2 linked regions of the Nothobranchius furzeri genome follow. The protein of the gene in region 1 purifies or fractionates together with the protein of each later gene. This does not show direct contact. Links are inferred from orthologs where the notes say so. Each region holds a gene or a part of one and is shown in the gene's direction. Other genes may lie near its edges.

Region 1 (4,355 bases):
ACATAGCCTGTCCTCCCGCACCGCCAGCGGCAAAATGCTGCAGTTCATGCACAGGTCAGTCAGCGCCTCTCTGAGGTGACCGACGCCCAGGCACTTAGGACACAAGTCGTGGCTGTCCTCCACCTGGAGGGGAGCCCCGCATGACTTACACTCCAACATCCTTACCGGTGTGGGAGACGCCAGTGACTCCACAGGAACTGAGCGAGGACTTCGAGGAAAACTGAAGAACGCGATTCAGTCCTGGAGTTGTAAAACAACACACGTGCGTGTGTGTCGGCTAGGTAATCTGAGCGTGCCACCACCACGGTCAGAACGTCCAGCCCCACTCACCGGTAGCGTTGTAAAACAACACACGTGCGTGTGTTGGCTAGGTAATCTGAGCGTGCCACCACCACGGTCAGAACGTCCAGCCCCACTCACCGGTAGCGTTGTAAAACAACACACGTGCGTGTGTGTCGGCTAGGTAATCTGAGCGTGCCACCACCACTGTCAGAACGTCCAGCCCCACTTACCTGTAGCGCTCGCCGGCCGCACTCACCTCCCCTTTCCACAGGGGAAATCCTGCGACCGCCAGCGAGCCCTATCCGAGCCGGCAGCGGCGGTCCGAACGGCGCCGGCCGGCCGCACCACCCGCACTCGGTAACAATTAGCAGATAAATAACAGCGTCAATCCACCGCCCCAGAGGGCTCCTTCGAGCGCTCCGACCACACGGTCCCGGGCAGGAAGACGCCAAGTAAAAACAGTACTCACCTCTCAAGACCGATAAGATCCGAATCACGGACTTACGGAGCGATTGACCAGCGAAGCACGCCAGGCCAACAGCGAGAAGATCAAAGAGACCCGAACGTAGCTATCGGCGCGTAATTTATAGACTCGCGACCAGGTGCGCTACGTGTCACGTGCGTGACTTTGTTTACATTAGTACTCGACCTGCGCAGAGCGCGAGGAGATACATCCACTCTGTTTACTGCCACTGGCAGTCAGGGGGGAACGAAACAGAACTTTGGGTGCCACCCATGCATTAACAGGTGCCCCACCTGGGCCACCCTTTCTAAAGCCTAGACACTCCACTGACTGTCCCCTAGAAGACATGACTCATCCTGTCCCACCTCAGCCCAGGTCCACGGCTGGTCCATCAGACTCCTCTCACCTGTATGGGCCGATGGCAGCAGGAGCTTTAGCGGTGCTGATGATTCTCCTGATCACAGCAGACATTTCTCTGGTCAGACTAAACTCACAGCTGACGACACGAGACCAACAGACTTCCGTTACCGTAAACATTCTGATACACACGCACAAACAATCATGTAGTTTTTATTTTACCATGTTAATATGGGTATTAATGATAGTTGCAACACAAACACCGCATACTCTGGTTTTTAGTCGTGTATATACATAATTGAAATGTATGGAGTAAATCTAGGTCTGAAGCTCGGTCTGAAGACGAACGCTCATTGCGTTTGTACACTACATTTCCCATGAGCCTGTGAGACGGACTCGCATGAAGCAAACTCACATGGTAGCTAGCTAACAGAGAGAAGAGAGCGTCCAAGAAACGTGTTGCTAATCTTATTGGAAAACAGCGAGGCACTACTGGTATGAATAATTTATATGTACTTGTAGCTTAGACGTGTTTTATTTAAGGTTCGGTGTTACAACTTTGTACGAGGGTTTGTTGCTAGCATAACAGTCACCGTCTTGTATGTGTTTGTGGTTCCAGCTGTGGTGCTAAAACAGCGTTTCCTTCTTCTTTCTACAGAAAATGTCCGCAGCTAAAGCCAAAATGCGAGAGAAGAAGATGAGGAATCAGCCTGCCAGTGTTCAGTATCCCTCTGGGGTGAACGGGGAGGGCGGCTCCCAGAACAGAGGACATGGTTCAGGTAACCGGTCTGTGTGCAGGGCAGCAGCTAGCATGGTGGCTCAGAGAAGGGGCCACGGGTGTTCATCTTTATACCACATCTGTGCAACTCACGTTAAATATCCGTCCCAGGTCATCTAAAGCATCTCCAGATGGATAAGGGGGTAGAGGTGTTACTTTGGTTCAGAGCTGTCATCACCACATGCTTCACAAGCTGCCAGTCTAAACTTCTCAGTGTGACCTTTTCCCCAGAGCATTTTCTTGTATTTGTTGTTATTTACTGAGACACTTAGTTCTGTTTAGCTAAGTCAACTGTATCACTTACACCTCCCCAATGAATCGCCCAGACATTACAAATGCTCCTGAACTCAAGGGATGAGCCAGTGGTGTGATGCGTAGTTGCTTGCTCTGATGGTGCCCACACCCAGCTGATGTGCCCTAAGCTCACCCTGGTGGTGAGAAACTACAAGAATCAGACACGTGTGTACTCGTTTAGGCAGGAGAAGAAACCATCTTTAATCCAGCTCCTCTCAAGACAAAAGTCATGAGGCGCTTCACAAGAATAAAAATCATATGGGAAAAGTTAAGCTTTGTTCTAACTTGCTGGATGTGCTGACTCTGAAAGTTCTGGAAATTCTCAAAAGGTGGACATCCATCCTCTAAGGAGAGGAAGAAACCTGAAGACACTGGATGGGTTCGAGGACATCAGAGATATGGTGGTGGTTATTCTAAGGAGATGCCCAAGTACATCACTGGTGAAAGCAGAGCCCGACATACTCTTTCTAAGCTCCCACTGTACCGTGCTGCTGCTAAAACTAATGCATTTCGTCCATCTTTCTCTTTGTCAAGGTGGAGCTTTTGCCAGAGCCAGAGCCGCCGAGGTGAAGGCCATGCTGAGAGCCGTCAGCCAGACGGCGTGCAGCAGCCATGTTTTTCAGGCTCTGCCTAAACACATGAGGCGACGGGCCATGAGCCACAACACAAAGCGTCTGCCCCGCAGGCTGAGAGACGTGGCTGACAGAATGGTTTCTGACATTTCCTGTTTTCTGTTAGTTTTTCCTTTAAAAGCTGCCTTCCTAGACTAGACTACCCCTTCTGTTCCACCCACCACAGCGGGAGAAAAGCCTCCAGGCTGGCTCAAAGAAGAAGAAAGAACCGGCTAAAAGCAAAAGCCGAAAAGCTCGCCGACGGCACGGGAACCTGCTGCTGGACTTCAACCGACGCCAGAGGAAGAACATTTGGCTGGAGACGCACATTTGGCACGCCAAGCGCTTCCACATGGTTAAAAAGTGGGGCTACTGCCTCGGGGACAGACCCACGTATAAATGCTATCGGTCGTGCTACAGAGCCATGAGCAGCCACTGCCTCCTGCAGGTAGCTGTTGTCTTTTTTTGTTTCTGTAGTTAGTTTATGAAGGTATCGAGCCGTGTGAATCTGTCTACCAGGACCTGTCTTACTATTGCTGCATCGAGCTGAAGGGTGAAGAAGACGAGCTGTTGGCTGCTCTGTCACAGATGACCAGCAAGGAGGCGGGTAAGCACATCCTTCTGGGTTTTCTCTAACCACCTGTGGACCTGTGGTCTCAGCTTTCAGTGGTGATTTTTGTTGTGGAGTCACAAGCTGGAGTCTGTTTCCAGGTCCTACGTTTGCTGCAGCCTTGTGTCTGTCAGGGCGCAGACAGGTCAGTGTTACCATCTACAGGATAGGACAGTACCCCTGCCAGCCCCTGGGTCCCGTCACCGTACTCTGGAGACCCAAAACACCGGGGATCAGGGGGAGACAGCTGTGGATCTGGGCTCATCCCACCCTTAAGCAGGTACGGTGGGTTTTTAGGAGACAAAGGTTGTATTTGTGAGTCACAGTACAGCCTGGTTATTTCTCCATGATGTGTAGGGCTGCTGCTACACCAGCTTTAATTTGTGGAAACACCTGCCTTGTATGCTCCTCTCTCTTCCACCATCAGAACCACTCTTCTGGTTTGCAGAAGCTTTTTCTTCCTGTAAAAGCATGTGTGTAGGTCCCTGCTACTTCTTACTGTAACAACCACTGGGAACACTCTGATTGGTTTTCCTGTTGATGTCTGTTTTATTTCTTGTAGAATCACGTTGAAGCCAGGCTAGTGAACTCTTCGTTGCCCTAAAAGGTCTAACAACTAGCTGTGTGTCTATGAGCGATACCAGCCTTAAACGACCCGATGGTTTCTTCTGCTGCATGCACCTTGCTGTCTCTGTAGTTTAGTTTGTGTGCTACCACTCGTGATCTGATTTAGTTGTGAGTTTTACTGCATAGTTCCTTTTTGTTGATATAAACTAGACTTTTGGCCATTTTTGGGTCCTCGTTTGGCCTCTCTGGCGCAGATGCTGTAGCCTAAGTCGGCTCTGCAGCAGTAATATCTGGATTAAACAGAGCATAAAATCTCAGGGTTTATTTATTAGGATTCTTAAAGCTGTACAATAAGTGATTTCCATTCTGTGCCCAGGATCTTCTCCCAGAACT
Region 2 (3,445 bases), about 29 Mb from region 1:
AAACAGCAGCTTCACCTCCAGCCTCTTTGTTCCGTAAAAACCTCACATCCCATATTTGCTGATAATTCCATTAGCTTCTGTGATGTACGTTGCCATGGCATCATCCTTGGACATTCCTGAGTCGATGAAAAAGACTCCAGTTAGAAACAAGACAGAATGAATCCGTTTCTGTTTGAGTGGTCACAATCAATGCAAAATTGAAATAAAGTTGAAATGCATTCATTCACTGTTACCTTTTCTGGATTGCCAGGCATCCCACTTGGCTTTTCCTGTTGGGTCTACCGTTGGTCTTTCTACGGACCACACAGAATACGATAAAATGGTCAGAATTTAAAGCATCAAATGGAAATCAATCCATTTGTGTGCATCGGCTCACCAGTGTTAACGTCTCCGACTAGGACCTGTTTATAGAGACCGTACAGAGTCAGCAGCTCCTCATTTGTAGGCTGCGTTTTCACCTTCTTCACATCGTCCGCTACCTTCTTAAACTCTACCTGCAACAGAAATAAATGTTCAGAATTAACGTTCTTGTTAACACCTGTCAGGTTAGACAGATTAATCCATCCCAAACAAAAAAGAAAAGAGGCACCAATAAGGAGAAAACCGCTCCACACACAGTAGTCTAGCCCAGAGCAATGCCTGGGAAACAAACTTGTTCAAGCTGGACGTAAACAAAGAACTTTCATTCAAGACTCTGGTGCTTTTGTGCCGGCATGAATAATCAGCTTTACAAAGAATCTGGGACATTGCAGAGCTGATCATTATTGCCCTCTTTAGGATGAATAACCCCACCTTCCAAAAAATGCATAATTTATTATTTTTTATCCTTATTATTATTATCAGATTTATCATTAAAAACTGAGTCTCTGTCAACAATCACAATCTTGTTAGTTATTTAGAATTTAAATCTTATGCTCATTCAGCATCAGGGCCAAAAACCACAGGAGGAACCGAGTGAACCTGTTATTTTTTTCCCAAAGATGGATGATGCCAAACATCTGCTAGAGATGATGTCATGAAGACCCAAATGAGCTAAACTAATTAAATAAAAGCAGAAATGTCAGGAGTTTACCTCGAGGGCCATCTCGGTGGAAGCAGACACGGAGTGCAGCTTGGGGTGTCGGTTCCGGAAGGTCCAGAGCAGTTGTGATTGCACCACAGCTGACCAAAGCAATATTTATCAGCTGAGGGCTGCAGAGGAGGGGGAGGACGGAGAGATGAGCTGCAGATCTGAGCGCTGATTGGTTGCAGGACACGCGCGTGCGCACAAACGCATTCGCGCAGAGAAACGTGTAGTATGTATTATAGGGAAACTTTTGCTTCATAAAGCGCTTTGTAACAATAGAGGCGGTTCCTTCAGTGCTAGAGGGAGCAGATTATCATTTTTAAATAAAGTTTGTGCATTCAAACCAAGATGGCGGCCTCCTACTTTCCCCGTGGTGTTGGTCTCAAACGTGTACGCTACTTCTAAATCTGCGTCTACATTATTACAGGTAAGTTCATTTTGGGTTTCAACCCCATTATTGTTGAGTTTATTTGTGTTTAAGACGGAACTGATTTGGCTGTTTTGGGAGGGTTTCTTCATAGATGTGTTTATATGCATATCTATGGGATTCTGGTGTCTGCCGCTGAAACGTTTCATCCACAACTTCCGGTTCCGGTTGCGCCTCGTTTTTGGAATTCTGTGCGAAGTTGGTGTTTGATTTTGAAAAGAGTTTGGACTATGACGCATTAAGGACACAGAGAAAGGATTACGGATTTTTATTTAGAAGCTGGACACTTTAATTTAAAAAGAAGGCTGCCGTGGTAGGTTGGACTGGAGCTAGCCAGAAGATCCAGTTTACTCCTAAGTGATGCCTGCTGAAGGAAAGCACGCCAACACACACTTCAGGGACCATACATTTGTAAATAAGTGTGATAACTTATCCTGAAGTTACCAGAAAGTTCCTAATTCGTTTGGTTTGTTTATCCCAGTTTCTCTTGTTCTGGTTTCAGACATGGCAACCAAAGAAAAGTCCGCAAAGAAAGCCAGAAAGCACGTTCCAGCCAAGACCTCCTTCACGTCTCCACTGAGTGTAGGCTGGAGCTCGCTTCCTCAGGGTCATGCGCATTTCATCCTGAAAACCACGAAGGACAAACTGATCTCCACGGGTCTGATGAAAAAGGAGGTCAAAGTGCTGCGGCCACGGAAGAAGAGGGAAAAGGGGGGCTCCCTTTCCAAAGCAGAGCCTGCTCCCCAGGTGAGTCAGGTGGGGGATCCCATCAGGAACGGCTGGACAGATGTGGCGGCCAGACGACAGCTGGCCATCGGCATCAACGAGGTCACCAAGGCTCTGGAGAGGAACGAGCTCCAGCTGCTGCTGGTCTGTAAGTCCGCCAAGCCTCAGCACATGATGAACCACCTGATAGCCCTGAGTGTGACCCGAGGCGCGCCGGCCTGTCAGGTGCCTCGGCTGAGCGAGACCGTGTCGGGACCTTTGGGGCTGAAGAGCGTCCTCGCTCTAGGATTCAGACGGAGTTCTTCTGAAGACAACCAGGTGTTTACAGATGTCATTGATGCCATCAAACCAAAGGTGCCTCCGCTGGATGTTGCCTGGCTACAGAATGCATCATCCAGAGGGACTCCTGAACATCCTGCCGGTCAGGAAGATGGCCCAAGAGGCCAGAAACGGAAACTGGAGAGTGAATCTGAGAAGCACACAGAGAGTCCCCCCTCCCCGTGTTCTCTACAGCCTCTCAAAGTAAAGAGAATTATTGCTAATCCTGCAAAGAGACGCAAACAAAAGCCCAAGAAAAAGCCTGTGAAATGAAAACGGCTTGATGGTAGCATTAGGAAGTGCTGGTGTTTTTCCAGATGATGTCAGATTGTGACACACCTGCTGCCTAGCCTCGGCGTGGACATGGGTTTATGTTCCTCCAACATCGGACGCCTAAAGGGTTAAAAACAATCCCTGTTGTCCGGTATTCTGGTTTCCAGCTGATCGTTGTCATCCGAACGCTGAGGTGTCCTTTTATGTGGTTCAGTATTCCGCTGAGATCCATCTCAGATAATAATAATAATAGTAAAGATACTAAAACAAGCTCGAGTAAAAACTCTTTGCTGTTTGTCTTTCAGAGGTTAGATTTGATTTTAGTTGTGATAAAGAAACCACTCCCATGATTTCTGTTGCAGAAGAGCAAAAATACCGAAACCGCTTCTTTAATGATCCACGTACAGCAAAAGAAATGTGTGAAAATGGTTTTTCTATTGATAAAATAAAAAATACGTCATTATTTCCTTATTTGGATCCATTAGAGGACCAAATTGTGTTTTTTTTTATTTTTGGTGTGATACCAAACAACTGCTTCTTTTCCACAGAAGTCATTTTTTACATAATTTAGTCCACAGTGAGCTGCTGCATTTGATCCAACGAGTGTTCCTGACTGGGATGGATTTAAACCAAAG

What was found. Proteins that work in one complex are often made in the same cells at the same time.
Region 2: the proteins of pop1 (region 1) and rpp38 purify together in Homo sapiens (affinity purification with mass spectrometry; 3 studies listed by BioGRID and IntAct, with this or other methods). This does not show direct contact. The link is inferred for Nothobranchius furzeri from reciprocal best matches to the Homo sapiens genes POP1 and RPP38.

Annotation. Positions count from the first base shown.
Region 1 is NC_091745.1:50,269,145-50,273,499, reverse strand, and holds the start of pop1 (ribonucleases P/MRP protein subunit POP1), read left to right. Parts: upstream 1-1,465; 5' UTR 1,466-1,597; intron 1,598-1,760; 5' UTR 1,761-1,763; coding exon 1,764-1,881; intron 1,882-2,503; coding exon 2,504-2,614; intron 2,615-2,708; coding exon 2,709-2,884; intron 2,885-2,972; coding exon 2,973-3,233; intron 3,234-3,304; coding exon 3,305-3,392; intron 3,393-3,496; coding exon 3,497-3,675; intron 3,676-4,338; coding exon 4,339-4,355. Other genes in the region: 2-iminobutanoate/2-iminopropanoate deaminase, read right to left, coding at 1,152-1,282. UniProt on the Homo sapiens protein: Component of ribonuclease P, a ribonucleoprotein complex that generates mature tRNA molecules by cleaving their 5'-ends. Also a component of the MRP ribonuclease complex, which cleaves pre-rRNA sequences.
Region 2 is NC_091745.1:79,260,966-79,264,410, reverse strand, and holds rpp38 (ribonuclease P protein subunit p38), read left to right. Parts: upstream 1-1,301; 5' UTR 1,302-1,493; intron 1,494-1,768; exon of another isoform or gene 1,769-1,904; intron 1,905-1,995; 5' UTR 1,996-1,997; coding exon 1,998-2,810; 3' UTR 2,811-2,836; downstream 2,837-3,445. Other genes in the region: acbd7 (acyl-CoA-binding domain-containing protein 7), read right to left, coding at 43-116, 234-293, 377-494, 1,073-1,084. UniProt on the Homo sapiens protein: Component of ribonuclease P, a ribonucleoprotein complex that generates mature tRNA molecules by cleaving their 5'-ends. Also a component of the MRP ribonuclease complex, which cleaves pre-rRNA sequences.